4 linked regions of the Alligator mississippiensis genome follow. The protein of the gene in region 3 purifies or fractionates together with the protein of the main gene of each other region. This does not show direct contact. Links are inferred from orthologs where the notes say so. Each region holds a gene or a part of one and is shown on either strand. Other genes may lie near its edges.

Region 1 (6,972 bases), on a different chromosome or scaffold from region 3:
TGCTGACTGCAGAGGGGAGCAGGGGAGAGGGGTTATGAAGAGAACAGCCCCCTCCTCCCACAGCCTGGCCCAGCCCAACTCATACCTGCACTAGCTGTGCAATTTCCTCAAACACATCCGCCTGGGAGCAGGCTGGGGGGAACACGCGGTCGAAGCTGAAGTCGTACCTCGTGTTGCCTTTACAGCTGCGCCCGGTGTGGGACTGAAGATTGCAGGTAGCAGGGGAGAGCAAGAGGGATCAGCCAGGGGGCCTCATTCTTTGACCCCCCACTCCGTAGCCCAGAGAGTACCCATGGGGCAGGAAGCCTGCGCTGCTGCACCTGGGCATGACACTCTCCCCACCTCAGCCTTTGCTATCACTCTGCAGCTTGTGGCTATCCTCACCTGTTGCAGACAAGCTATTTCTGAGCATGGGCAGCAACCCACAGGGGTCCCCCAGGGAACAGGTCAGCTTTGTAGGGAATGGATTATACCTTTGCCAGCACCCCTGGGGGCTTCAACACTGCATGGAGCAGGGGCATCTCCAAACTGAGGCCAGACAGCCTGTGGCTGGTGCCCAGTGACCTAGGCCCATTGCTGTCCCCCACCCCCCTGCCTGGCTCACCTCCTCCGGCCGGGAGAGTACAAGTGCTCCGTTGTCCTGTGGGGGGAAATGCAAGTGCTCCAGCCCCTTCCCCGCCTCCTGTTCAGAGGGCAGCAGGGGCCGCACACGGCAGAACACACGGATGTTGCCCTGTGGAAGAGATGCATCAGTCTAGCCCAGGATCCCAGTGCCCTCCCACCCATCTGCCCTGGGCCCAGCCCCACCTTGAGCTCCAGCACCAGGTTGTGCAGCCGCCGCCGGTCCATCTCCAGCTGGTGCAACTGGTCTTCTCTCTGCGTTGCAGCCTGCAGCAGGGTTGTCACCTGGGCTTTCAGCTCCCTGTTCTCCTGTGTGCTCTGAGCCAGGTCCCCCTAGCAGAGAGCCCGAGTGTCACTTAACCCTGGCTCAGAACTGTCTGAAATGATGGGCATGGGAGGCCATAGCTTGAGGCATCACCATGACCTGCTGACAGGTGCTAACACATGGGCTCACTGGATACGAGTGGCCATCAGCATGGCCAAAGTGGGCTACTGGGGACAGGTGGGGGCAACCTGGGGCAGTGCTGCCTATGACAGCAGGGCACTTGTGGCTCTGGCAGAGGTGCCATGGTTGCAATAAGGGAAGCCAGGGAAGGCAGCACCATACAGAGTCACTGGCCTGGCCTGGACCAGGGGACTGTGACAAATGCCACGTTGGGAATGTGATGCTGGAGCAGAACCTGGTGCCATTACAGCCGGTGCCCACAGCCTCAGAGATGTTGCCATAGGAAACTGTGCTTGCGTGTCAAGCTGCAGATTGTACTCATCTGTCAGAGCTGCAGCACCGTCTGTCTCCACACACACAGCATGGAATAGCGTGCCAATGGAGACGGGCCGATGAGCACAACTGCCTGCCCCAGGGCAGGCCGCAGGACAGCAGAGCTCCTCATCAGAGGCTCTGGGGCCGGAAGGAGAGCCAAGCTGCTCTATGGACCCCTCAACTTCCAGACCCACCTCTCTGGCTTCCAGCAGGGCTGACAGGTCCCGCTTAGCCATCTCCAGGTCCTTGTTGGTCCCCTCGAGCTCCTTGTTGGTCCTAGTGGTGTCAGTGAGCTGCTGCTCCAGTTGGTGCTTCAGATCCGACAGTTCCTTCACTTCCTCGAGGCGCTGCTGGGCCTGCTCCTGGGACACGTGCAGCTCGGACTTCACAGCCCTAGAAGTGCAAGGGGCCAGGGTCACTCCCCGTCCGCATCAGGCTGCTCCTGCCCCCACCCCACCCCACCCCACCCTCCTCTTACTGGAGCTGGCGGTCCAGGTCCCCGTTACGGGCCAGCAGCTCCTGCCTCTGCTCCTCCAGCTCCTGGCCCCCCTTGCGCAGCTGCTGCACCTCTTCTTTGTAGATTTTGAGCTCTGCCTGCAAGTCGCTCACTTGGCCCTTCAGGTCCCAGGGTGCCCGCTTCTTCTTGCCACCCCCCAGCTCCAAGGCACGGCCTGAGGCAGAGAGAGAGATTGGGGGGGAGGGGCGCAGACTGTGGTGGGGAAGCCCAACCGGCCAGGCCAGCACAGGGGGAACTTGGTGGCACCTTATAAGTACATTGGGGCTTGGAGGAACATCTATTCACCAAGCCCTGCAGGGGAGGACAAATAATGGGCACAAACTGATCAAAGATCGTTTCAAATTAGACATAAGAAAAAGCTTCTTTACAAGCCAAGCGCCGAGGGGCTGGAACAGGCTCCCCCAGGGTGGTCTAGGCACCCGCAACGGCCATCTTCATAAAGTGCCTCGACACCCAGCTCGCCGGGGCCTCCTGCCCACGTCCGAGCTCCCTAAGCCCCCCGCCCCGCCCCGCCCCGCCCGCCGGGAAGCTGCGGGAGACGGGTTACCTGTCTTGGGAGCGGCTGTGGCTGCGGCCACGGCTAGCCTGGAGGCGGCCCCTGGGGAAGGAAAGCAAGGCAGGCTGGAGGCCCGGAGCGGGAAAGGCCCGAGCCGGGTGCTGAGGGAAGGGCTCTGCCCCCAGCCCCTCCCCCGCCCGTACCTGGGGCAGACGCGGCGTGTGCGGCGGGGCCCGGCGGCGGGGCGAGCGGGCGGCCGGCGAGGCCGGGCGGGGCCGCCGATCCGGGGCGCTGCGGGCGGGCGCTGGCGAGGCGGCGGGGCGGGCGGGCGCGGGCGGGGGGCTGCAGGCGGGCGCGTTTCTGCGGAGAGATGGAGACGTGAGCGGGGCGGCGGCCGCGGGGCCCGGGCGCCCCGGTTCCCGTTCCCGTCCCTACCTGCTCGGGGCCGGGCGCGGCCTCGGCGGCGGGCGCGCGCTTGGGCACGGGCAGGCGGGAGGCGGGCGGCGGGTCCATGGCGCTGGCGCAGGCGATGGCGGAGCCGGAGTCTGGGCGCGCGCGCCTTCCGCATTTGAAATAGGCCCCGCCTCCGCCACCGCGCGCAGCCAATCCCGCGCGCTCGCCCGCCCCGCCCCCTCCGCCGCGCCGCGGCCAATCGCAGCCCGCGGCCAATCCGCTCCCACCGCGCCCCGCCCCCCAGCCCCGCCCGGCCTGTGGCGGCCTGCGCGCTGGAGGAGGGGAGGGGGGTACGTGCCCTGCGCGCGCCCAGCGCCGCTCGCAGTTGCGCAGGGCGGGAGGGGGTGGAGCCGGGAAAGAGGAGAGGGAGGGGCGGGGCAGGTGCAGGAAGCGGGGGGCGGTGGGGGGGGGGCTGAGTGGGAGCAGTTATGGGGTGGGGGCGGGGCAGGTGGGCGGAAGTGGGAGGGGCTGGGGCAGTTCGGGGGGGGGGATCGAGGGCGAGAGACGGGATGGAGCGTTTAGGGTGGGAGGAGGCGGGGCAGTTTGCGGGGCTGGTGGGAGGGGTTGGGGCAGTTTGGGGGGTAGATGGGGAGATGGGGCAGTTTGGGGGGAAGTGGGCGGGGACGGGGTAGGTGGGAGGGGATGGGGGGGGCCTGGCAGGAGAAGTGGGTGGTGCACCAGGGGCACTGGGTGAAGGAGGGGTGACCGGGGCGGCCGGGGATGCTGCTGGGGTAGGGGCTGTGAGCAGGGGGGAGCTGGGGTGGGCGCGTGGGGCAGGGGCCTGGGGTGGGAGGAGACTGCTTGGCTCCTGCACTGGCTCCCCTGTCGGAGCATGGGGCTGCAGCCCCGGACCCGGTCCCATCCCCTTCCCCATCCCCAGGCAGTAGGAGTGGGGAAGGGGCTGCCCCCAGTGCCAGGAGGGGGCACTTGCAGACGATGCCTGGCCTGGCCTGGGGAGGGGTCCAGGGTGCCAAGGGCCTGGTCCCAGGCAGTGCCAGGAGGGGGGCGTTAGGGGGGGTCCCCTCCCCGGGCGTCTCTCCGCATCCCCCCTTGTTCCTCCCTGCTCCGGCGGCTGCGGCGGCTGCTGCTGCTGCGTCACTGGGCTCAGGCTGCTGCGATGGAGCCTCAGCGGGTCCTGCTCTTTAGCCCCTGAGGGCCCCGCGGCCTCTTGGCCCGCAGATACCCCTCCCCGGCCGGGGACTGGGGAGTGCCAGCCCCCACCCCTGCAGGAGACACCAAGACCTGGTAAGGGCGGGAGCGGCCAGGGGCAGGAAGCTCCCCTCCCCCATCCTGGAAGGAGAGGCAAGGGGCTCCCCTGCGACACCGTGCCCCCCTTCTCCGGTTGTGACCCACCCCCAGTCAGTCAGAGACCTCAGGGAGTTCCTGCACCTGAGATGCTCTCAGCCCAGACCCCTGCCTCCCAACCCTGATGGGGGTCCCTGGTCTGAAACACTCTCCCACCTCCCATGCAGGGCACCCCACGGACCCCACCTTGGAGGCCCCACCTCCAAATTTCCAACCCTGCCCCAGAGACCACCCCATGTCCCAGGGTCCTGCCCCCACAGATCCCCAGAGAGGGGCTCACATAAGGAAGACCTTCCCCCAAATAGCAGATCCAGCCTCCTAGATGTGAGACTCCCTAAACCCCACACCTGCCAGAGGGGACCTGAGCTTAAGACCCTCTCCCTCTCCCAAACCCCACGCTTGCCAGAGAGGGCATAGGCTGAGACCTCCCCGAAACCCCACACCTGCCAGAGGCCCCAGGCTGACACCTCTTGGGAGCCCCACAAATCCTCCAGGTTCTGCGAAGCTCCTGCACTTGAGAGACGTGTCCCACAGTAAGAGCTCTCCAGCACCAGGCCTGGAGGCTCAGACCTCTTGCTGCACTCCTGGCCTGTCCTCCCTCACCTAGCTGGCGGCCTTTGAGTGGGGTGGAGTGAACCACACCATGGGAAGGAGAGAGGGAGGCAACTGGATTTGGGGGAGGGGGACTCAGACTCCTAGGTTCGGCAGCTGGGACTGACCCTCGCTGCATGCAGCAGGTTGGTCACAATGTGATGGCGAGCGAGCTGCCCACCCAGTCTTCCCGGGTGACGCGCACGACCTCACGCCTGGCCTCCGGCCCCTGGAAGCGCCCAGCAGGTGCCCCGACAGCCCCGGTCCCCGCTCCCAGCCGGCCCCGCTTCTGGGAGGGGCAGGATGTGCTGGCTCGCTGGACCGATGGCTTGCTCTACCTGGGCACCATCAAGAAGGTGAGTGCAGGGCCTGGGCCCCCACCTCCGCCAGACCCCACAGCCACCCCCCCTCACACCGCTCTCCCTATACAGGTGGACAGCTCGCGGCAGGTTTGTCTGGTGCAGTTTGAGGACAACTCCCAGTTTCTTGTTCTCTGGAAGGACATCAACCCGGGTAAGCAGCTGGCTCCCAAGACCCCAGCCGGGGGCCTGGCTTAGCAGCATCCCATGTGGTGCCTGGGCTTCATCACAGGTTTCTACTCCCTCCCCCCACCCCAACCCTTGCCCACTGGGTCCCCCAGGCAGTCATGGGGCTGGTTCTGTCATCTCTTGCAGCGGCAGTGCCTGGTGAGGAGCAGACCTGCTGTGTGTGCTACACGGAGGCTGTGAGCGCAGAGAACCAGCTGGTGCGGTGTGAGAAATGTGGGCATGGTAAGTGTGGCTCCTGGCCCCTGCCCCATGGCTCCCTTACCCTGCCACCCATCTCATCTATGCTTTGCCCCCACAGCTTACCACCAGGAGTGCCACCTGCCCACAGTGCTGGAGGTTGGTGGCAATGGGGCAGGAGTGCCTGGCACCTGGACGTGCAGGCAGTGCGTCTTCGCTGTGGCCACCAAGGTGAGCTGGACCCCCACCCCTTTCCTGACCCCTGTGCCCCTTGCACCCACTCCTGGCCTGATACTCTCCCTCTCTCCTGAGCAGAGGGGCGGTGCCCTCAAGAAAGGCCCCTATGCCAAGGCCATGCTGAGCATGAAGATGGTGCTGCCATATGAGCTGAAGGCTCTGGAGTGGGACCCAGTGCATCTGACTAATCGGCAGCAGTGCTACTGTTACTGCGGTGGACCGGGAGAGTGCGTGTCCTTCCCCTTCCTCCCTGGGGTCTCCCAGATCTAGAAGGGCCTGGAGCTGGCTCTGGGGTGGTGGGGGGTTTCCCAGAGGCTTTAGGTCAGGGTCCATCCTGGTGTAGGCACCAGTCTAGACTAGCTCAGTTGGAGTCCAGGGCAGGGCTCAAAACTCTGGAGCAGGCATTAGAGCGGGGAGTTCTTACCTTGAGTGGCAGCCTGGGTGCAGGCCCCTCAAGGGGCACCCCTGGAGCTGGAGCCAACACGTTCTGGACGGGGGACACTAGGTGTTGGGGCTGAAGATTTTAGGCTGGGACCATCCCAGGGGATGAGCTGGGGAGGTTCCAGATTGGGCTCAGCCTGTGGCATGGGGCTCAGAAGCAGGCAATGAAGCTGGAGAATTTGGAATCAAGGCTACTTTGGGGTTGGAGCAGGATTCGCATTGTGGGGAGCCCTGGGGCCTTCCCTTGCATGGGTGCTGGGGACTAGCGAGGTGGGGGGGGAAAGCTAGTGGTCCTGGCAGCAATTGTGCACACCTGTCAGATGAGGCAGGGCTGGGCTGTGCACTCAGCCTGCTGCCCTCCTGCTTCCTCCCACAGGTGGAACCTGAAGATGCTGCAGTGCTGCCGCTGCGCCCAGTGGTTCCATGAGGCCTGCACCCAGTGCCTGAGCAAGCCGCTGCTCTATGGTGACAGGTAAGGCGGGGGCGCTGAGCTTCCCCAGTGCGGGGGTACTCACTCTGTCCTGTCCCATAGAAGGGGGGTGCATGCAGCCCAGGAAGCCACCTCATTGCTCGATGGTGGAGGTAGGGTGTAGTGTTTAAGATCCCTCAGGTTGGGGGTGCCAGGTGTTGGGCTAACGCTGCTCTTTCATCATGGGGTGGGGGTGTCCATGATTGGAGGTGCTGGGCTGACACTCATTCTGGTCCCTGGTGCGGGTCTCTTGCAGGTTCTATGTCTTTGAGTGCTGTGTCTGCACAGGTGGCCCAGAGAGCGTGCGCAGACTGCCCCTGAGATGGTGAGTGACCCCAGTCCCTCTGTCCTGTCTTA
Region 2 (7,428 bases), on a different chromosome or scaffold from region 3:
ACTCCTTTACTTCCTAGGTTGATAACAGGTCATACTGATTAATATACTACCTCCTTAATACTAATGAATCAGAAGGAGTCGAGTAAAATGCTGGGGGGGAGGGGGAGGAGTGGGGGGAAAAGAAGGGGAAAATGGGAATATGGAACTCCGAGGAGACGGCTTTGGGATAACTTTTCATAAAGTACAAATTAAGGTCCTATTTGTATTGACTCTTGTACTTGGCCTGGCGGAGCAAAATGTAAAAACAATAAACATGCAGGCAGTAGGTGGTTAGGGACAGTCCAAAGAATGAGCAGACTGAGGGTTAGGGAACAGCTCAAATCCCATGAAGCAGTAAAGTTGAGTTTAGATTATAATACTAGTTTGTTTGTAATCGCTAATATTTTAATACACTGCTAGAAGACAAACTCTGATTTCCACATGGGCCCCCCCCCCCAAAAAAAAAGAAGGTAAGTAACCATTCCTAACATCCCTTTTAAGTGCCAGGAAACAAGCTCAAATCTGTTTGCCATTACTAGACGTAACTGGTGCTACCAAAAAGCACTGCCCTACTAATGGGATAGCTTTGGGGCAGAGATTTGTGTTTTCCTCACCATATGGAAACTGAGACCAAGATACCTTAGGTTTAGAACACCAGCCAAAACGGGGCAAATGGTGCACTTCTATTAAATCACTAGATGGGTCCTAAAGTGTGCCACAACCAATTTCTAGCTAGATGACAGGTCACTTATGTGGCTGAGGATAAGTGAAAACCAAAGTAACCAGTTATCTGCTGCTCTGCACCACAAACAGACCACTCTACAAACTGGCTATTCCTGAAAACCTCAGACAATCCAAAGGAACTGTTCAGAAAATACTCAAGTCCATATAAGTGTGCATGACATCACTTAACATACTTTTTCTTTTTTTTTTTTTTTTTTTAAGTGACAAAAGTTCTAGGTAGAGACAAATTTCAATCATCCTTATTTGGGATTCTCCTCTTTCTTCCTCTTAACTTGAAGAGCTTTTGAATAAGAGTTTAATGCTCTTTCAAGATAACTAATTACAACAGCTAGTGATCAAACCCTTTTTGTTTCATCTTTTGCTGTTACTCCACCTGTACACGGTTGGTTTGTTGGTTTTTGTTTTTTGTTTTTTTTTTTCCTCCTTATTACGAAGGCATGTTGTGGTGGTCTTCCCCTGCACTGTGCACCCCCTCCCAACAGCTTCATGTAAAAATACTTGTTTTACTCCTACAAGTCAGAGTAGCAGGATAATCTCCAGTTTTAATATTTGCTTGTTTTCACTAAACAATGGATCAAGCAAAGACAAACACCTATGGACATCATTAAAAAAAACTACTATGGAGGGGGGAATATATAATGAAAGATGCTGCAGGGCTGAAGAGTATATTTGAATTAGCATTATTAAAAAGGGAACTGAGAACATTAGTCAGCTTGCCTACCTGCCAATAAGCAATACAGTTTGTCTTATGTCATTTTTGGAGAATATGGGGGTTGGAGGTCCCTCCCAGCCCCACGTCTCTATGAGCAGAACAAGACCTCTTTCATAGCGACGCTTCTTCTCCCCTTAGGCTGAGCGTAGGTTTCAAGATGGAAAGTAGTCATCACTTTGCATGTGCATTTTTAAGATTAAAAAATAAATTACAACACTACTTTCTGAACCCCCTTAACAACTTAAAAAAAAAAAAAGTCTAATAACGCGATGCGAAGCCTCACAACACTGATGTAGGGTAGAGGGGGAAATAACTACGAAGTCAAATGTAGTCGTTTTTCGGCCCCTATCCTGAGGCCGGCGGGAAAAGGATTAAGTTTCAACCACAATACCACACTATATATTTTGAGGCGGGTGAAATAAGTGAAGAATGACTTATGTAATCTGCATGAATTTGGCCCGGACTGGGAAGCTGCCTTGCAAGGAGCGTTTACGGCATCTCGAGTATCTACAGGTAGGCGAGACGCGGCGGTCGGGCGTGCTCTCGGCCTTTCTAACCATCCAACTCGGAAGCACAATCGTAACTTCGGGGGGGGGGGGGGGGGGTGGATGATCTTTGGGGAAAAGTTGCCGGTTTTACAGACGTAAACACAGCAGCATGCAGCAGACCACAAGAATAAAACATGGGGCGCCGTAAGCCCCCCCGCCGGCCGACCGACCGACCGTCACGGACTCGACGTGCACTCGGGGTCAGCCATCATCTCTCCACGCCCATGTCCGTCCGTCCGTCCGTCCGCCCGTGTGTAAAAGGTCCCGAGCTGTCCCGTCAGCGCACCGGGAGAGTTAACGAGCAACCCCTCGCTCCACGCTGGCGCGGGGCCCTCGGGCAACACTAACTCGTGCGGCAGCACCCTGCGAGGGGCGGCGATCCTCCCCTTTCGCTGACGGGGAGCCGGCGGAAGAGGTTAAGTGACTTGCCCGAGGCAGCGGCAGCTAGCGAACGGACGTGAATGCTTCGCCGTAACGGCGGCGGCAACAACAACAGAAAAAGGAGGGACGGACGGACGGACGGACGAGTCCCGCACAGTGATCCTCACTGTTATTTTTTACACACGCATACACAAGCGGGGAGGCGCGGTCGTTACAAATCGAGGCGGCGGTCCCCCACTGCGAGGGGGCACAGGAGTGTTTCCCAAACCTGCCTCCATCGAGGGGCCACATGTTGCGAGGCGGGCGGGGGGGGCAGCTTCCCCCCAAACAAGCCGTTGGTGTGGGGGGCGGGGAGGCGCGCGCAGCACTGGGGGGGGGGGGGGGGGGATGCCCGCAGGCTTCGGCCTGCCGGGGTGACAGGCGGGCGGCGGGCGGGAGTGAGGCGCGTCCCCTCACGCCGGGGAGGCCCCGAGCGCGGCCACCTGGAGCCGGTGCCGGGAGGAGGGAGGGAAGCGGCGACACTCACCTGCGGGCGCGGGGCGGCGGCGCGGGGGGGGGCGGGCGGCGCCGGGGGCCGGGGGGGGGCGGGCGGGCGCCGCTGTGTTGACGCCGCCGCCGCCGCCGCCGGGGCTCGGCGCTCCGCAGCCGCTCAGCAGCCAGGCGCCATTTCCCGCCTACCGACCTGCTGCACCGCACCGGGGACCCGGATGGGGGCGGGGCCCGCGCACGCGCACACCGCCGCCGGGGGGGGCGGGGCGGCGCTCAGTGGGGCCGCGGGCGGCCGGCGGGGTGAGGCGGCTCCTCACGGGCTGTGGCGGGCAGTGACGGGTTACCTCGTGGGGGGGGGGCACCTCGGGGTGTAGGCGGACTCGTGGGGTGTCGGGGGTGCACCTCGTAGGGTGTGGGGGGAGCTGAGGAGACTCTTCATGGGGTGTGGGGGGCCTCATAGGTGTGGGGGGCGGCGAGGGAGCACCTCATGAGGCGTGCGGGGCTGAGGGGGCTCGTCATGGAGTTGGGGTAGTGCCTCACGGGGTACCTCAGTGGTGTGGGGGGGCTGGAGGGTGCCTGGCGGGGTGTGGGGGCTGGGTGTGAAGGGGGAGCTGTGCTGTGGGCGGGAAGGCGAGTACCCCACATGGGGGGGGGGGCCGTGTGCTGCTGTGTGGGGGGTGAGGTGAGAAGTGGGGGTCCGGTGCTGTAGGGATGGGGGGGTTGTAAATACCAGCTAGCTCTTGCCCCCCAACTCCCCCTCCCTTTGCCCACAGTTTCGGGGGGTACAGCCCTGGTCCAGGCGCTCCTATCGCCTGCTGCTGGCGAGTGGGAACCCCACAGCCGTCCCCCCCCCCCAAGAGTGGCCCCAAGTGCAAGCAGAAGGGCCGGATGTTGGAGGAAAACTGGTGAGGAGGCAGAGGCAGAGGCAGGCAGTGAGGTGGAGAAGGCAGCGCTGAGCAGATGGACCGGGCGGTGAAGGTGAGCAGCGCAGGTGCAGGACTGAAGCTGTGCCTCCCCTCGGGGCAGGGTGGCGGGTTGTGTTTGGGAGAGAAAACCCTCCTGAAGACACAGAAGTTCATACTTTTCATGTCGGCAGGCTGGACTATCCCGTAGGCTTCGGCTGTGTGTCTGTGCCCAAAAAGGTGCCGTGGATTTTTACAGCCGTTCGGTATCTCGCTGTAAAATCCCGCCGCGGTGGGGTTCTGTCGTTACCTTGATGCAGCTCGCTGATGTCAGTCCTGGCAGGGGGGGACTGCATTAATCTTGCCTTCCCACCTCAGGGCAAACACTACTGGTGTCTTGTTTCCTCAAGAGTCTTGTAGTGTGACAACTAACAGGAATCGACTGTCTTAATGAACCCTACTCTCCCCTCCCTCAGCTTTGGGTAGTGAAGACGTGGGCTTTAACTCAAGCGGCCAACTACACTGAACACTGGGAACAAAGCAATTTGCAGTAGAACGTTATTTAATAGGAATGAAGAACCCGCCCTTTTTCTTGAATACAAATTGTAAGAAGTGCGGGGGATTTCGTTGGAAGAGACTTACTGGATAAAGTGAGAAATCTTGGCGTATTGAGAAGACTATGGGGAGGACTAATGTTTTGCTGTTGATACACTTCCCCTGCAAAATCTTGGGAAAGATTTTGTAGGGGAAAGACAGTGCCTTACCATTTTTAGGTGCTTCTGGGTGGAGAAATTGTGTGGGTTGGGAATTGTAGCGTAGAAATTCTCGTGGCAGGGAGGTGGTAGGACAGGGGTCTCTGCATGTCTGGGGTTTAGGTTACTGAGTGCATTTGACCAGAAAACCTATTTTCTCCATTGACATTAGGGAGAAAAAAAAATATATGCTATCGGCTCTGGCACACAATGGGAGGAAAAGGAAGGATGACTGTTCAGTACTGGGGTTCCCATCCTTCATTCCTTCCTTCTCTTGTCCTTGTAGCGACAAGGTATTCACAGGACTCAAGCAGCAAACCTGGGACGAGGTCTTCAGGCAGAATTCACAGATTCGTTGGAATCTGACAGGGCCGCACCACGAGCACTTCTCCAGTGGGGTTCCTGTCAGAGCACACCTTGGCTGTTGGGGCCTACCCCTACACATGGGGTTGTCAGGGCTTGAGATCAGCACTGACTGCATTTCTGGGTCTAGGTCAGGTGCAGAAAAAACTCGACGGAGTATTGATGTGCTGTAATGGCCTTTGGAAGCCTTGCAGGTGGGGTGGATAAGAGCTGCATCCTGTCATACAATCTCAAACTGTACCAGTGTACAATATGCCATTCATTTTGACAAATTTCCTTGTTTCCTGGGGTTCCTAAGACTTATTAACAAATTGCTAGCCAGCAAGCAAGACAGTGACATGTCAAAGAGCATAGTAGGATATCTCCTTCTGTTTCTGCCCTCTGATTTGAGCTCTGTATCTTTGGGCAGCTTATATTACATGTAGGTACCGTATCGTTCCAAGTTGTAAAATAGTTGTTGTGATATTTTTCTACTTTGGGTTGTTGTGGTGTTTGAATTGTTGTTTTAAGAATAGATCCTCTCATAAAAGGTTCCATAAAAATGGAAAATGTTGTTAATCGCAACTTTCTGGAGTGCCTCTTCTTACGAAGAGCTGCAGACGCTACAAACAGTATTTGCATTGGTTAAGGAGTGCCTCATCAACATCTTGCAGACAAAAAGAAGTGTACAGTAAACACTAGTTTGTGAGGAATTTACAATTACAAACTGTGTGTCTGTCTGATGTTTCTTTCCATTAGTGGTTATTGTTTTATTGGCAAGCTTCTATTAAGAGAAATCTTCATCTCAAATTCTCAGACTAATGCATTTCATGGAAGCAAAAAATATTTTCAGTCTCTTGCAGAAATTAGAATGTTTCTGCCAAAGGACCTTTGACTGCAAAGGAACAGGAAAAAATGTTGTTTCTTTTTTTTCTACATTTTATTCCACTTGGATTTACTCTTTTTTTTTAATCTAAATTTGGACACTATTATAAAGGCAAAGGGAGAGTCATTTAAAAATATTTATTGGCTTATTAAATTGAACTGCTTTGCTGCTGTAGAGCCAAGCTTTATAGAATCTGCACTGTAGAAGTGTAATATTTCCTTAACAGAAGATATAAAATCAGTTTTGCTCTAATTTTCAAGGATAATAGATGGTTAATTATAAAAATAATGGAAGTAATTTAATCCCCTGCATATTCAAAACTTATAGTCTTATCCTTGTAAAACATGAGACTATCACCAGCCACATGAAACACATTAATTGGCTACTTCTTGTGTGATTAGCAGTGAAAAATATAGCATAGGCACTTTGAAGCTTACTTAAGATAACTGGTAGTCTGTTAATACAAATTAACTGGGCTGGATGACATGGTTTTATCCAGTGTTGTAAGATGAAGGTAATATTCAATTACTTTTAAAAATCAGGACATTAAACATGAAGAAAGGAAATACTTGGTCATACAACACATGAGTAATGGTGCTGCTCATTGCCACAGGTGGCAATAAATATTTTAAAAGGCACAGATATTTATATAGATCTGAAAAATATCCAGGGTTTTCATAATTAATGACCATTTGGAAGGGATATTAAATCTTGTGTTTCAGGGCATAAAGCAATCTTGATTAGATATCAGGATCAAGGGACATATTACTCAATGTGTGCTTACTACAGCTTTTGTGAGCTATCCTATAAAGCTTCTGGTTCTGACCAAGAACAAGAAGTACCCCTGTGTGATCTCTGTTAGAAATGCCAATGCTTTGCCTGCACTTGTAATGCAGTGTTACTTCTGAACAAAAGTCTAATGTGGATGTAGTCAGAGGAACTAGATTATTTTTTAAACAAAGGCTAAGGTTGAATCTATATTTAAGAGTTTAGCTCACGTAGCTGTGTTTGGTTAGGATGTGAAAAAAATCATGTCATAGTTAACAATGCAGGGAAAACTGTGTTGTAAACATGGTTACACCAGTCCTGCAAACATGAGTTATAGCAGCAAAAGAACTTGCACCAATATGGGTTTGCTAACAGCTGTACAAGTGAACTGTTTCTACTGTAGACAAGACATTCTGTGCAAACCAGAAAAGTCCATGCTGAAACAGCAGGGAGACCCATGGGTTCCAAGGATAATAATTTTTTTCCTCTTGTCTGTGGATTTCTATTGACCCTGCCCTGGATCTATTCTATATAGTATTCTACGTGCACATCTATCTCAGTTCGTAGAAAAACAGGAGGCAAAAATGTAGTTAACAGAATTTATTGTTTGAAATACCATACTCATGTGATTTTGAGTGAACCCTTTTAAGTGGCCATTTTCAATACCGTAATTTAATAAAATATTTATAGGGGATAGAATAGACTGGATTCCTCACATTTTAATATCCTTCTATCTACATGCTGCTTAAAATGGCTTGCCCTGTAATTGTGGGTATGGGGGGGCAGACAGTTTATTAATGACAAATGTAACTACTATAGGACTGCGCCAGCTGAGCAGCAGAACTGTCATCAGTCCCGGCTCCACTCACCCATAGCTCCATCATCCGCTTTGTCACTTCCTCTTCCTTTGTACCCAGTCCCCTGG
Region 3 (7,805 bases):
TAGTGTGACGTGGTTTGCTAGTGTGCTCCTTTGATGACCTAGCATTCACAAAGTAATATGTTATCTCCTCCCAAAAGGCCCCCCTCTCTCACAGATTTCAGTTTCAGGATTAAGCAGAATTTCCTCAGAAGACTTTAAAGATCAGACAGCACTAAGATAGAAGAGTCCTGTCAAATAGCAACACCCTATAGATTACCAAGTCTTGCTTGAAGTCATAGTAGATACAACTGCTAGCCAAAGCAAGACAAGCAGCTGTAGCTGACCCGCTCCAGGTTTGTGTTCCAGGCTTCTTTTGCTAGACACCCAGGTTCAGATTTTTGGAAGAGTTCTCCATATTAGGCAGGGAAGACATGAACAATTTTGAAACTCTGGCCCCCAGTGACTTTCCCTCATAAATTAATTGGCCTGAAAATGATGTAAGTGCAGCACACTGACATACCTGCTATGTTTCCTAAAGCCCACACAGCCTGTTCACTGATGTGAGTATGAGGAGAAGCCAACAGGGAGATAAAAGCTGGTATGGCTCCACCATCTACCACAGCCTTTGTTTGCTCCGACGTGCCAGAAGCAATGTTAGTAAGTGCCCAAGCAGATTCAAACTGAATAGGGCTACAGTCTGCTCTCCCTAAAAAGGAGACAAACTTGGGGATCAAGCCAGCCCGAATTATGTTGTCTATGGGGGGCTGTTTCTCTCTGGACAGCAGTTTCCTAAGACAGAAACAAACACAGGGAGTTAATTTTTTTGGTCTACTACAACCTGAACAGTAGATTCCAATTTAGTCAGCAGAAGACCCAAGTTTTACTTTAAAAAGATATTCTTCCAACAGTGGCAAACATCCAAAGAAGTTCAATAAAGACTAGCTGAACACTACATTAAGTGGTTTAAAGACTGCTTTTGACAGATCCAGCTTTGTATTGAAACTGTTTGTTAAAAAAAAAACCAAAATCTGAAATTAAGCCAAGCTACTTGGTTGTGGAAAAGTAATAATGCACTTGGAACTGCTTGAAGTAAATGGCAATAACTGCCAGAAGCTGCACTACCATCTCAGGTAATCATCCTCCTACCTCATTGTGCAGGACTTTTCAAACTTCAACTATTATGCTGTATTTGGAACCAACACTCTAGGGTGAAAGCCTCCCTCTTTCACCTCCACTTTCATACATTAAGCTGAGGGAATGCTCCTCAGTACTAGCATCTCATATTCCAGCCTTACAAATAAATCGCAATACCCGCCACCTCTATAGAGCCGAGGATAAAAAAATCTGACACTTCCAACATCCACATCACCCTTAACACCATGAGACAGAAGGAAAAGTACAGCTCAAGTGCCAGGTGAAGTCTCATGCTCAGAGGACACCTCTAAACAGTCAGAGAGCACCAGCGCTTGTGTAATTCCATTTACGCTCAGTCCCTTGAATACTGACCATAGCCCAGAGAACTCATTTACTTACCTGAGGCCAGATAACACAGCATTATTTATTTACTATTAGCAACATTTGCCCAATATTAGCCTGCCAAAATCTCAGCTTTATGTTTGGTGCTTGTGCTCTGCGGAGTTAAACCCTGTTCCTTATCCCCAGTCACCAAATGACACTTACACCAAGTCGCTTACCTTGCGGCCTGAGTAGCCTGCAACTGCAGTTCTATGTTGTTACTGCTAATTCCTTTGACTATTTCTTCAACAGACCAGTGTGCACAGACCTGTCCATGGGACAGAAACAGGTTTAAGAACTACGTTAGGAGAAGCAGAAACTTCATAAGAAGTTTCTCTCTGCTTTGGCAAGGATCTATGGCGTTGTGCTTTTGACATCACCAAGCGTAAGGCACCAGGTGTAAGTACGGTGCTGTACAGGTACTCAAGGCTCTTTGGGCGAATCCGATATCCTTTATTTGACCAACTTAAATAGTTGGAAAACATCTTTTTTAGGAAGCTTTCGGGTTTAAAAACCCTTCGGCAGGCTGAGGATGGCCCTGCAGTTGGTGCGTGCTCTTCCCGAGTACAGGTACGCCTCACTTAACCTCGCCCCGGTTGACGCAGTCTCGTTACTACGCTGACGATCTATTAGAAAACACGCTCGTTCAAAGTCGCTCGGTTATACCATCGTTTGGCTGCCAGCGTAATCGGATCGACCGTCGCGTTTATCAAGAACGCGACCGCGTTCAGCAAGGAGTCGCTGTACACGCGGGACTTTCAGCGCCAAGGGGGAAACCAGCCCTAGTCTGCAATAAGCCGTAACCTCTTGCAATCAGAGGAACACTTTTGGACCCTCATCTTGCTGGGACCCCGTGACCCTGGCTGACTTCCTGCCCCTGGGGCGGGGGCCGGACTCGCCCGTCTCCCCAGGTCCCTTCCAGCCCCGACGCCTACGACGCCACTGCCGGTACCTGATTGCCCCTGTTTTCCTGCAGAGGAGAAGTGGCGTCGTCCGGTAAAGTGCTGACGTTTCTCCTTTTAAGCATCTGGTCGTCTTTCTTGGCTTTCCTCAGCTCCACGTTGACTTCGATACGCCGCCGCCGCATTTCCTGAGAGGAAAAGGAAATTGTCACGTTTTTTGGTTTTTTTTTAATTTTTAAAGTGCAAAGCGGCGCTTTAAAAAAAACAAAACATTAAAAAACAACAACGACGACAAAAAAAAGACCCCGAAACCCAGCGACGCCTCCAGGCCGGGCCGGCGCTCACCGTCGTGTCCTTGCCCTTGTTCTTGAAGCGGTTCAGCCGGGCCGCGGCCGCGGCGGCGTTCTCGTTGGCGGACATCTGGGCCGGTCGGGGCGTCGCAGGCAGCACGGATGCAAGAGGCAGACCTGGAAGGAAGCCGGGGGTGAGAACAAGGGAGAGCCGCAGGATCCCCCCGCTCCCCCCGGCCCCGGCCCCGGCCCCGGCCCCGGCCCCGGCCCCGGCCCCGGCCCCGGCCCCGGCCCGCACCGCACCTCAGCACACCTCCGCTCCGCGCGCTGGCCGCCGCCGCACTGACCCGCCGAGCACGTTGCCGCCGACCCCGCCCCTCCGCCGCGGCCCCGCCCCCGGCGGGATTTAAATTTCCCGCTGCCCCGCTCCGCTATTGGTCCGTTCGAGCCACAGCAGCCTCCTCATTGGCCGGTTTGAAAAAACCAGCTCGCCTCGCGAGGCAAGCGGAGCTCTCGCGAGACCCTCTCCCTCGGTCGCGTCACAACCCCCGAGGACTGCATCTCCCGGCGTGCAGTGCGGGACAGAGGGTCAAGGAGACTACGACTCCCGGCAGGCCTCGCCCGTGCTTCACTCTGCCCGCGGGGGAGGGGGAGGGGGAGGGGGAGCAAGGCATGCTGGGAGGTGTAGTCTTCCCCCATGGGTCCACCCCCAACTGTACACAGCTCGGGTTTAGAGCGAGCAGAAAGCAGGGAAGAAGCTCATGCAGCCAAAGTGTGCAAGGACAATTTTCTTGCCATTTTCCACTTGGTCTAATGAAAGGGATCATTTTGGATCTAAGAGTTCTAGTTTTTTGTATGTCAAAGACTTGAGCGGCCTTTTAGGGCGCTGAGCTACGGGAACAGCGCTGCCCGTGACGAGCAGGGATTATTCAGGCCCATGAAGGCTGCCGCGTCCTGCACCAGCTTCCACTCCTGGCTGGGTGGTGTGGCCCCCCTCCAGATCTGACTGAGGCCATTTCGAGTAGATGAAGTGAGGATGAGACCCGAACGGTGGCTCCCGACCGCTGCACGACAACAAAAATACTCGCTGCCGGGCCCAGAGATGGAGCAACAACACTTGTTAATCCGCAGGATCCCAAACCACTAATAACATCAGGGCTGCCTGATCGCACCTGCAGAATACACCAACCCCAGCAGTCCTTATATGCGAAACCTTTCTGGGCCCTGCGGGACGAGGACCAAGAAAGCCAGCGGCACTGAGATGTTACGCGGCACCCTGCTTTCCAAAAGCTCAATCGAAACCGGATTGTTACTGAGCAACAACGACGCTGTCAGCCACCTGGCAGAGCTCCTGGAAGAGGAGTCTCACACGCTGCAAGACAATCAGCACCTGCCTTCTCCACTGCAAAGCCTCAGTGCTTCCCATGCATCTCCAGCAAAACCAAAGATGTGATTTCCCTGCTCTACTTGGCACTGGTGAGACCGCAGCTGGATACCACGTCCGGTCTGGGCACTGCACTTCAACAAGGACGTGGCAAAGCTTGAGAGAGTCCAGAGAAGAGCCACTCGTGTGATCGGAGACTGGCACAGCAAGCCATACGAGGAAAGGCTGGACATCTTCAAGAGGAGACTGGACAGTCGCCTTGCTGGGGTCACTTGACCATGGGTGACTGGTGCCTCCTGAGTCTGGGGGGCACCAGATTGCCAATGGGGGACGGAGGTCTCCCAGCGGCCAATTGCCGAGCCAGCGGTGAAACAGGAATGCACTTCGGGTTCTGCAGCTGGCACTTCCAGGGGGTGCACGTGCACCCACGTGCACCCCTTCCATGTTGCCAGTGACCCCACTTGTCTTTCCTGCCTAGTGCAGGGGGCTGGACCCGATGATCTTCCAAGGTCCCTTCCAGCCCCTACAACCCGTGTCTCTATGAATTAACAAAAAAAGATCAGAATCCAGAGCACACTTTTCCCAACACAGCTGGCTGGAGTCAAGCAAGCAGGAGCCTGTGCAATACAACCCAGCTGTCCAGATCTCACCCAGAACGACAGGCATCGATTAAATTAGAGCGTTTTGACCGTGCAGATCCAAAACCCAGGGTCGCTTACAGGTGGATGACCAGAAGCCCCTGGGAAATGACACTGCAAGCAAAGACAATAGGAAAGGGTCAGAAGGCTTGATTTATTCACTCTGAGACGGGGCTTATTTTGTACGTAGTTTATTCTGAGCCTTAAAATAAAGTTTGTTCTGATTCTTAAAGTTCTTAAAAGTCTTAAAATAAAAAGGGGTGATGTGAGGCTGGGTAGCCGAGAGGGAAGCAGACAAAGCCACCTGTCTGCAGGGGACGACAAGGAGCAACGGCCCTAGACTGCCAGAGCTGGTTTCGGGCTGGACATAAGGAAGAATTGCTATTTGCAGTCTGGAGTCGCGTCCCAGGGAGGCGGTGCCGTCCCCAAGTCCTCCAGAGGGGCTCGCGCAGTTGGGATCACTTGATCTCAGGCCAGAGCAGGCGGTTTGTTTCTTCAACTCCTCATTCCTGTGCAGGCAGCAGCACCGAAGAGCCGGTGGCAGACAAGGGGCAGAGTGCAGGTGGTTGAGGCTGAAGCTGGTCCCACCTGCTTGTCCACAGCCCATTTCCTGGAAGGACATCACCCAGCTTGCATTTCGCCCCAAACGGACGCACTGCAGCCTCCAGGGGAAACTCAGACCCCGGCCCCATGCGCAGCGCCGTGCACGGCCCCGCGCCCGCGCCCGCGCGGCCGGCAGCGCAGAGCAGGGAGGCTAGGCCCCGCCCACTCCGGGGCGCGGCCTCGTGGCGAGAGCGGCCGGGGCGGGGGCGGGGCGAGCGCGCGGGCGGGGCCCTTAGAACGCGCCGCGCGCCGCTCTCGCCGGGTGACCCAGTGGCCTAATGGATAAGGCATCAGCCTCCGGAGCTGGGGATTGTGGGTTCGAGTCCCATCTGGGTCGTACCGCAAACACGTTTTTGCGGCGGCCCGGCGGCCTCCTCCTTGCCGGCAGACGCTTTTAACCGCGCCTGGGCCGCCCTTGGCCCCGGGGGAAGGGCCTGGGAGCTGCCGAGGGCTGAACAATGGGCAGCGATGTGCAAACTACGGCGGTGCAGGGGGGGCTTGTTGCTCTGGTGGGAGCAGGGAACAACCCCGCTTATCAGGGCTTTAGTCCCTTTAAACGTCTCCCCCCGGTCCTCTCCCAGGGCTTTTGCTACTGCTAGTCAGGCTTTACTAGATGGGAAAGACATTGTCATCATCCAGCCGGGCTGGGAGCAGGTGCCACATCTGTCCCCGGGCACGCTGCACAAGTGTTCGCTCGCCAGCGGGACCGGGAGGCACTGGTACGCGCACGCGAGGCGCGTCGAGCCAGGGTCAGGGAGCAGCCGGACACACCGCTGCGTTTCTGCCATTGAGTCACCGAAGATAACGATTCATGGTTTTTTTTAAAGGAATTATGCCAGGACAAGACACGGGCACGTGAACGATTGTACTTTGTGCCGGTATAAAAATGGTTATCCCAGGACAAACGCAGCGTCTTTTTGTAGGCCTGTTGCTCAGCACAAAGGTACCACCATTCCTCCGCCATTACGACGGATACCCCAAAGGGAGTGAAATTGCGGGGAAACATCCCAACGCGGCTACATAGGAGCATGGGCTGGGGTGTTACACAGCCGGGGGTTATGACTGTATACAGTTTTCTTTAAGGACCCCACATACAATCCGCTGAGACTCGGATATAAATCACGTACAAAAAAGAAACTTTGTTATAATTCACAGCACCGCACCCTACCCTCCCTCCAGCCGTCTATGCAACCTAGCCTGCGCTTTCTTCTCTCGCGCTTTCTTCTCTCGCGCTTTTGGACTCTAAGCCAGATCATTTCTTTACTAGTAGAGAAGTTTAAACAACTTAAATATGGTGATAATAAAAAAACACACCCAAAAAACCATGCTCAGCTGCTTTAAAAAAACAAGACACTTTGCATCCAGGGAGATTCTGTTGAAATCCTTAATTTCACAGATACAATCATTCAAACACGAGCGATATCCGTGATATACAACTCATTTAAAAGGAAGAACATTTCCATGTTGGCCATAGCAATGAGCCACAAAGAGATGTCTGAAAACTTTGTTTTATTTCAAGATTTCCCACTGAGGGCAAAACCCAGCCCTAAGACCGCAGCACCCTCCCACATGTGCTTGGGCTTGAGCAGTGCCTCGCTACAGAGCCATGTGGCAGGAGCACCGGAGCGACCACATGCATTGATTAATTGGAACAGCGATCATCCTCACTAAGCCACTTAGCCTGAAACAAAGGGCCAGCCCCAGTGCTGCGCCTGGCTTTTTGATGGAGGGCTCCACATGGTTTGTCTTCCTCTGGCTGGAAAGATGTGTTTTGGCACCCAGCCCACGGGATCTTCCCTATCACACCTGGCATTTTACAATGCTTTGCATTCAGTGCGCCGTGCAGGCATCAATTAATTAACTGATTCATCCTCCTGCCATCCGCCATCAAATAGTGGGAGGAAGCAACCTCACCAAGCAGATTTTTTGAAAACAACGGCATGAAAACAGAAGAGCCAACCCAAAACAAGAATAAACCTATGGGATTAAATTAATCTCAGCGAGTGGAGTTATACCCACTGAGCCAAAGCCATTGGGGTTTGCATGTGTATTCATATTCCTGAGCCCGGGTTGAAAAATTGAAAAAAGAAATTGAAACTACCCGAGGGAGCAGCAGACTCTTCTCTTGAGAAGAAACGATGGCTATATTTCTCAGGATGAAAAACAACATTGCAAAAAGTCTCCTTGAAAAGAAGGTTTGAAGGCATCACAAGAACGCTAGCCAGCCTTGAAAACTGTGCACCCACGATAGCCACCGTGTACCCATGCCCTGTTCTGGTGCCCCGGCCCACCCTGCCTTCTGCACGCTGCATTTCTGTGCCGGTCCTTGTACCGCTCCCAAGAATGGCTTTATTTGTTCTGCCCTGTTTTCTCCTGCAGGAAAACAAGTCCCCAAGGCTAATGGCTAGAAACCTGTATCCAGAGCGGGAGTTTGGGGATGCTGCGCTTGTCTGGCAGGCATGGATGCGCCCCGTGGATGTTCAGGTGAGCTTGGCCCTCGTGGGGGGCTCGGCACATGCTCCTCCTAGGCGGTGGCAGAGGGAGGCTAGCTGGG
Region 4 (7,297 bases), on a different chromosome or scaffold from region 3:
AGGACCTGAGCAGGGTCAGTTTGCCTCAAGTGGCACAATTTGCCCCACACCAAAGTGCATGTTCAGGCACATGTGCTGAGGCACAATTCTTCGGCAGAAATTTGTGCCACTGCTACTTAAACTGCTGCAAGCACACGTACCTATATGTGTTAATGTACTCTCTGGGTTTATTTTGTGAATCATGTTTGTACATGTAATGGTGCTAACATTGTGCAGCACCCTGCAGAACCCCTGAAAGGATCTCAAGGCACCCCAGAGTGCCATGGCACCCTGGTTGAGAATCACTGTTCCAGCTAAATGCGATTTATTTCCAAATATAATACTGAGCACTTACATAGCACCTTCTACCTGAACAAGTCAATATCTCTCAAGAGGTATGTCTCACAACTGCCCTCTAAGATGGCTATTACTACACTCCTCTTATTTTGTAAATGACAAATTGAGATATACAGAGAGTAAGGGACTTGGTCAAACGTACAAAGAGGTGAGTGCCACACACAGAATTAGAATATAGGCCTAGTACCCACTGCACTTACTAACTAGGTGAACCATGTGCAGTGAACAATTAATTTAGCTCTTCATGTGGTATTCATGAGCAGGATATAATTTTTTACCAATTTGTTTACTATTCATGAATGTTTAAATAGCTTTTACAAGCTAAAACTAATGTGATTGTTCTTTCACATGATTTCATATTCAAATTCTGTCACTTGTCACATGGTATTATGTTCCCTATTTAGAGGAATTAAACTTTATAAATGACTTCTGTTTGAAACTAGTTTAATGATTAAACAAATCTTAGCTATAGGCTCAACATTTTCTTTTTGAATATTCATGTTAGCAGAACTTTGCTCATATGAAAATTCACTTAAAGCAAATATGTATGCAAATGTAATTGAGGTAAATATTTTTTACTAATCACCCATCTCTATTTCCCTCCACTAGCCACTTTTGCTTCAACTTAAATGTATTATAAAATCAGTCAGTTTTGAAGATGAATAGTTAGTATGTTTTGGTGATAAGCAGAGACAATATAAAACAATTATTTTGAGAGATGTCAATTCCTGCAAGTAATGTAATGGAAGATTCTCTCATACTTATTATGATACAAATTTGAGTCAGGGCTCAAATCCGGAGGGGATGCAGTGGTGAGATGTACCTCCCCCTCTTTCGTTGTGCCACATGATCTCTTGCCGTGGGGTCCGGCTGGAGCCCATGAGGTGAGTACAGCCCCTTGTCCCCTCCTTTATCCAGCTGCTGAATTCAGCAGAGGAAGAGGGATGGAAGGGTGAACAGTAGCAGCCTTCACTTCAGCCAGTCTGCCCTGATTGGCTAGTGAGCTCATGGCTCACTGCTCATGCAGAGCTCCAAGACTGCACATTCTTACTTTTATGTTAAGTGAAAAATCCCTTGACCACAATGGATAAGCATAAGGTTCCACATATGCATAAATCTCTGCAGGGCTGGACCCAGTGACACACTATCAACATATGACACACAGATTCAACTAACTTTGTTATTGGAAAAACAGGACTATGAACCTGTTTTCCTCCTCTTGAGACAGACTTTGAATAAGCAAGAATCTTTCTACAGGCAGGATTTCTGAACGAATAATGTGGAGTCACTGGCATATGACAGGTTCCAACTGTGTGAGACAGCATGACTGCTGCCACTGCCTTTTTGTCCTCTGAATACACCTCTTCGCCTAATGACAGGAAATGTCTATGATGTAGGCAGTAATGACATTCAAACATGCTATAATCTTATTTACAATATTTATATTATTAAGCCTCACATGACTAAGTTTCCTAACAAAACTCCATGTGATTCTACAAAGTAAATTATTGTGAAGACTTTTTGGTCCTTAACACTAATTTCAGAGCACTTTGCTTCCTTTGTTTTTAGAATTATATGGGACAATTGTGTAACTATTTACAGTATGTACTAAAGAGACTATTGAGAGACACTGCTATGATAATATACATAACCAACAAATTCTGAGGTTATAAATTATGGGCAAAATCAGGCCTCTGGTGTGATAGTACTCAGACTTTGTCACAAAAAGGCGTGTCCATATAAGAAAATATTATTGTGTTTGAAGGTAGCTGTAAAGGATCAAGTTAGCTTGATACAACACGGTCTATGGTTGATGGTGTTTGCAGAATTGGGTCCCAAGTAATTAAATGAACAAAAAGGCAAATAGCCTGAGTTAAACTTAAGGGTAGTAAACTCAGTAAAAAGGCTAAATAGTGGGCAAATAGGGATGAATTAAAGAATTAAACCATAGCAATACACACAAATACATATGCACACAAAGAAAATAAACATGGAAACCTTGTGGTACATTCTTTTTCTTCTTCCATTTTTTGTCAGCATATCATTCATGTAATGCCTGATCTTTCAGCTGCTTAAATAGGACCCCTTGTGAATGAAGTTGCATACATGAATGAATGCTTACAGAAACAAGTTCTTAGATTAGAAGGCCTCTGGGGCAAGGATACATCTTTCTACATTTGTGTTGGGCCTACCACACTATTGTATGGTACATAAAGAATTCATTATACCTTCAAGGAGAGCTGTGAATGTTAATTAGTTCATGTCTGCACAGCAGTTTGAAACAAGAAAAGGGCTGGATAAATGCTATTTAACTATTAATAATATTATGTGATTGAACTATGTTTAGAAATCACGTGCTGTTCGGCCTGGGCTAGTACTTTGAAAAATGGTTTTCAAATAGCTATGCCTTACTCATGATGACAAGATAAATACTGTTTAAATCATATCAGCATGAACTACGTGTAGGGTAATAGACTATAAAGCCTGAAGGGATTGTTGTGATCCTCTGGTTTGACCTCTTGCACAACAATAGCCATATGACCTAGCTGTTTAGTTTTAGTTTGAACTAATTCTCCGTCAACAGAAAGTTTTTAGATGCAGGATAGACAAATATTTTCAGAAGAGGTTTAGATGGGGATCATCCTGCCTTCAGTACTGGTTGGACTGGATGACCTCCTGAAGTCCCTTCAGCCCTATTTTTCTCTATTTCGTGATCACGTATTTTATAAAAAATATTAAAACTCTTTTTTTAACAATGTATAGTGGAGAATCCACTACAAACCTTAGTAATTATAATTTCAACTCTTATTCCAAGTCTGAATTTGTTTAGCTTCAGTTTGTAGCCATTATCCACTAGCCCAGCGACTCCTCTTTTTTCAAATTTCTATTCTCTATGCAGGTACCTCAAAACTAGCAATTCTCAACTTGGGTGCCATGAGAACCTTTTAAGGATGCCCCACAATATTAGCACTGTTTGGTGTACAAACACCTACACAATTCATAAAATAAACCCAGAAATTTCAAATAGGATGCTCACCTTGCTGGGGTCCCAGCAGTCTTTCCTGCCCAAGCGCAGTGGGGCTGGGTCCGATGATCTTGTGACGTCCCTTCCAGCCCCTAACATCTACGAATCTATGAAACCTGGTATCAAACATCTCTTTACATTTTAAATGAAAAAACTTGCCAAGGCCTGATTAAAAAAAAATAAAAAATAAAAAGATTGATGAAACTGAATGTGCTGGTAGAAAATGTGTTGTACAGAAATGTTCAGCCAACTGTACCTAAAAAATGCCACCAAAAAAACTTTGCCATGCCTCTTCATTGCTTGCCCTATTTGAAAACTTCAGTGTCAATAGGGTACAATTAAACTCCTGGCAAATTTCCCCTCCCTCTAGTCTCTTCTCAACTTTTGTGTGGTCATGTCTCCCGGGAGGAGTGAAGGTGGAAGGAAGCAGCTTTTCCTCACGGCTGTAGAGAAAAGCCTGAGAAGCCGTGGTCACCTCTGCAGGCTGTTTTGGGGATGTGTGCGTGCGGACTGGTCCGTAGTTAGGGGTATCTGCCTGCCTGTCACTATGGAGTGGGTTCTATCCATACATCCATGTATCTGTTTGTGTCTGTGTCTGTCTACCACTATGTACGTGTATCTGTCTGTGGTTACAGACTGGACTGTATCTATCAGTCTGTTACCGCGTATGTGTGCGGATCTCTGGATTTATTGCTGGATCTGCGCCCAGTATCTGGGCGGATAGGCGCAGCCCCCAGGGGCAGGCAGACGCGCGCGGCCCCGCGATGCGCCGGGACTGGCTGCCCACGGTTCTAAAGCCCAGTCCTGGGTTGGGAGGCAGGTTTGCCGGCGCCGCGCGGGGCGGCGCGGGGCGGGGGCCGAGGCCGCCGGGGGGCGGTTCGCGGCGCGGGGCCGGGGCCGCGCGTGACTGTGAGGCCGGCGGCGCGGGCTCCTCCCCCCGTGGCAGCGGCGCCGCTCCCCTCCCGCAGGCCCCGCCGGGCGGAGCGCGAGGGAAGCCAGCCGCTCGCCGCCGCCTCGCGGCCTCCCTGCGGCCCTAGGAGCGCCCGAGGCGCGGGTGAGTGCCGGGGGACGGGCCTCGTCTCCGCCGCCAGTCGGGTCCCCCGCGCGGCCTGCGGCCTCCCGCCAACTCGAGCGCCGCTGCCGGGCCCGGCCGGTGGGCGCCGCCAGGCCGAGGCCTTCCGCACGCGGGCGGGCGGGGAGGGGGCGTAGCGGGGCCGGACCGGGCCGGGCCTGGTGCGGGGCGAGGGCGGCTGCCTGGGGCTGCCCGGAGCGCGGGCGTGGGGGGAAGGCAGCAGGTGTTCAGCCGGGCCCAGCGCCGCCGCCGGGGCGGGGAATCCCCGCGGGCTGGAGCCGGGCCCGGCCGCCCCGGCGCGGAGGAGGCCCCGCGTCACGGCTGCGGGCTCCAAGAGGGCTGCCCCCTGCGCCCTCCTGGGCTGAAGCTGCCACCAGCCCCGCACCGGGTCCCGGCGGGCGGCGGACTTTGCCCGGCCGGGCCTGGCTTTGTGGCTCGGCCCCGCCGTGCGCGCCGCCCGCGAGCGGACCCCGCGTCTCGGCCTTTCATCCCGGGGAGGGGGCGGTACTGGCCTTCAGGCCGCGCTCGTCTTGTTTTTTCCTACCTGATTTGATTACGAGGTTTGGAGCTGGCGCCCCTTCGCTGGGGGCCTGTTTCAAGCCTTTGTTGCAGTTGCGGTGTCTGGGGGAGGCTGGCTCTGAAGGACGCAGCTTACAAAGTTGATGCAACTTGATTTAGTGGTTCTCGAGCTCTTGTTTTTTAGGCGCAGGGCATCCCAGCTGTTTTCCCTGGACTCTTGATTGCAGAAGAGCAGAGCATTTCTGTGGCAAAGAAGTCGGGAAGACCATAGCTAGGGGTTTCTGTGTGAGCTCTCCGGGTTTGTCTTGTAAAGCACATTTGTAATCCTAACCGTGCTGATGTTGGATGGCACCTTGCAGCACCCTTGAAAGGGTCTCAAGGCACAGGAGGGTGCCGCAGATCCCTAGCTGAGAATCACTGGATTAATTGGACATTGGATAATAGATAGGCACACAGGACATGGCTCTAATAAGGTACTAAGAAAGGGACTTTTGATCTTGGCCAGTTATGCAGCGTGTTTATTGGATCGGTAAATAGCACCATTTGCCATGTATGCCTGCTCCTGCCTCTAAACAGTTTTCCTTATGAACATACAATTTTCTGTATATTTGAAACACCACCTCAGCATGTCATTTAAAAGGCAAATGTTTTGAGATCTTCATTCTACTCTTCTGGTCCTTTTGTTTAGAAATCATATTCCCCTTTTTTTACTTGTTATTTTAGAAAATTAAACTATTTGGAAATGCTGAGTAAACATTCCCTTTCCAGCATCTGCCTCACTAAATTTATCTTTCATGCCTTTTCTGAATGGGTACTAATCGAGAGAGAGAGAGATCCATTTTCTTTTATAGAAAGATCTTTCTGAGAGTGCAGAAATGCTCAACTCTTGGGAAATTACACTTTGGCTTGAGAAGGTAAAATAATTGTTATTCTTCAGATAATACTTATCTGAGAAACTAGCTTACAAAGATATAACAGGTTAGGAAGTGCCGTTCCACTCCTGCCTCCAAGTTCTAGTTTTTACTAAAAATAGTAATAGATTAAAGCTTTCATCATTGTCTCTGGGGAAGAAGATTCCACTAAAGTAGAGCATACTAACTAACTCTTGTCATTTAAAAAAAAAAACTGGTCATGGTTAATGTCTTGTAAAATCTTGAGTGACACAAATGCAAGAGATGAGTATATACTTATGAGTTGCTTCTTTTTTTTAGGTGAAGACTGCAAAAGCCCTGGGTCTGACTGAAGGGAAAATTTCACTGTACTAGATTTACTCTGGCTTGAACACTTAAAGGCTATTTTTGGATACTTTTTAATTAAAGCAAAAATCAACTTTTATAAACCATGGCAGATGTGGATCCAGACACGTTGCTTGAATGGCTGCAAATGGGGCAAGGGGATGAAAGGGATATGCAATTAATAGCGCTGGAACAGCTATGCATGCTGCTTCTGATGTCAGACAACGTGGATCGTTGTTTTGAAACGTAAGTATGGTTCCTTTTGTTTGTGTTGGGAAGAGTAGGGACTTTTTTATCCATTGCGTAGATTGTGTCAATTTTATTTAACCACTTCTCCTTATTAAGTTTATACAAAATTGGACGTGGTAAACTAGAACCTTTTGCACTCTTGAAAATATGCAGAACAAAACCTTTACATCTTTGTTCAGACCATACCACCATAATATCATGACTTCCTTTGCAAAATAAACATGTCATGCTAAGAAGTGTGACACATTGAGTAGCTGATCCTGGCACGTCTTGGCTGATTCATTTCTAAAAGGCCTCTTGCAAGTTAAAAAAAAAAAAATAAAAAGTTCCTGTTTTCTTTTGTTAAAGGGAATTAAATTATTTAATTAAATTATTTTGACTTTTTTAACCCTAAAATTCAGGGTTTTTTTATTTATATTAAAATGCCTGCATCACTGAAGTTTTTTTCCCTTGCTCTAAGACGTAGTAGCACTTGCTTTGAACTTTGCAAGCCAAAAAAATTAACATAACTGGCTTTGTCGCTTAGGACTGTTACCTAAGTATCTGTGGCTTATAACAACTTATTGTAATAACATTACTCTCTGTAAACGCCAAGTAATGGTTTTGGAAGGTAGGCATTTTGATCTTAAAAAAGAAAAAAATAAGTAAAAATTGAGCCTTTAAAACTTAACTTAGTGGGCGTGTCCAGATGAGTGTGGCTGTGAGGAAGTGGGGTGGGCAGGTGTGGCCAGGCCTGGGACCGTGGGGCTGTGGCCTGGGGCAGAGCCATGATCCGCTCCCGCATGCCCCTTTGATAGACACTGGTTACACAGGTAAGAGCGTGTGTGGAGCAGATTGTGGCTCTGCCCCCAGCCCCATGCT

What was found.
Region 1: the proteins of KPNA2 (region 3) and KIFC1 purify together in Homo sapiens (co-immunoprecipitation; 4 studies listed by BioGRID and IntAct, with this or other methods). This does not show direct contact. The link is inferred for Alligator mississippiensis from reciprocal best matches to the Homo sapiens genes KPNA2 and KIFC1.
Region 2: the proteins of KPNA2 (region 3) and CTDSPL2 purify together in Homo sapiens (affinity purification with mass spectrometry; 4 studies listed by BioGRID and IntAct, with this or other methods). This does not show direct contact. The link is inferred for Alligator mississippiensis from reciprocal best matches to the Homo sapiens genes KPNA2 and CTDSPL2.
Region 4: the proteins of KPNA2 (region 3) and HECTD1 purify together in Homo sapiens (affinity purification with mass spectrometry; 3 studies listed by BioGRID, with this or other methods). This does not show direct contact. The link is inferred for Alligator mississippiensis from reciprocal best matches to the Homo sapiens genes KPNA2 and HECTD1.

The regions. Positions count from the first base shown.
Region 1 is NC_081834.1:64,871,733-64,878,704, forward strand, and holds the start of KIFC1 (kinesin-like protein KIFC1), read right to left. Parts: upstream 3,004-6,972; 5' UTR 2,908-3,003; coding exon 2,830-2,907; intron 2,755-2,829; coding exon 2,598-2,754; intron 2,497-2,597; coding exon 2,446-2,496; intron 2,053-2,445; coding exon 1,860-2,052; intron 1,775-1,859; coding exon 1,576-1,774; intron 955-1,575; coding exon 808-954; intron 734-807; coding exon 605-733; intron 203-604; coding exon 86-202; intron 7-85; coding exon 1-6. Other genes in the region: PHF1 (PHD finger protein 1), read left to right, coding at 4,905-5,099, 5,175-5,256, 5,418-5,513, 5,590-5,699, 5,784-5,932, 6,523-6,618, 6,872-6,940. UniProt on the Homo sapiens protein: Minus end-directed microtubule-dependent motor required for bipolar spindle formation. May contribute to movement of early endocytic vesicles. Regulates cilium formation and structure.
Region 2 is NC_081834.1:1,637,362-1,644,789, reverse strand, and holds the start of CTDSPL2 (CTD small phosphatase-like protein 2), read right to left. Parts: upstream 3,019-7,428; 5' UTR 2,891-3,018; intron 1-2,890. UniProt on the Homo sapiens protein: Probable phosphatase.
Region 3 is NC_081831.1:6,286,907-6,294,711, reverse strand, and holds the start of KPNA2 (importin subunit alpha-1), read right to left. Parts: upstream 3,014-7,805; 5' UTR 2,930-3,013; intron 2,804-2,929; 5' UTR 2,757-2,803; coding exon 2,682-2,756; intron 2,525-2,681; coding exon 2,387-2,524; intron 1,703-2,386; coding exon 1,614-1,702; intron 709-1,613; coding exon 440-708; intron 1-439.
Region 4 is NC_081825.1:253,450,406-253,457,702, reverse strand, and holds the start of HECTD1 (E3 ubiquitin-protein ligase HECTD1), read left to right. Parts: upstream 1-4,284; 5' UTR 4,285-4,415; intron 4,416-4,977; exon of another isoform or gene 4,978-5,168; intron 5,169-6,163; 5' UTR 6,164-6,293; coding exon 6,294-6,433; intron 6,434-7,297. UniProt on the Homo sapiens protein: E3 ubiquitin-protein ligase which accepts ubiquitin from an E2 ubiquitin-conjugating enzyme in the form of a thioester and then directly transfers the ubiquitin to targeted substrates.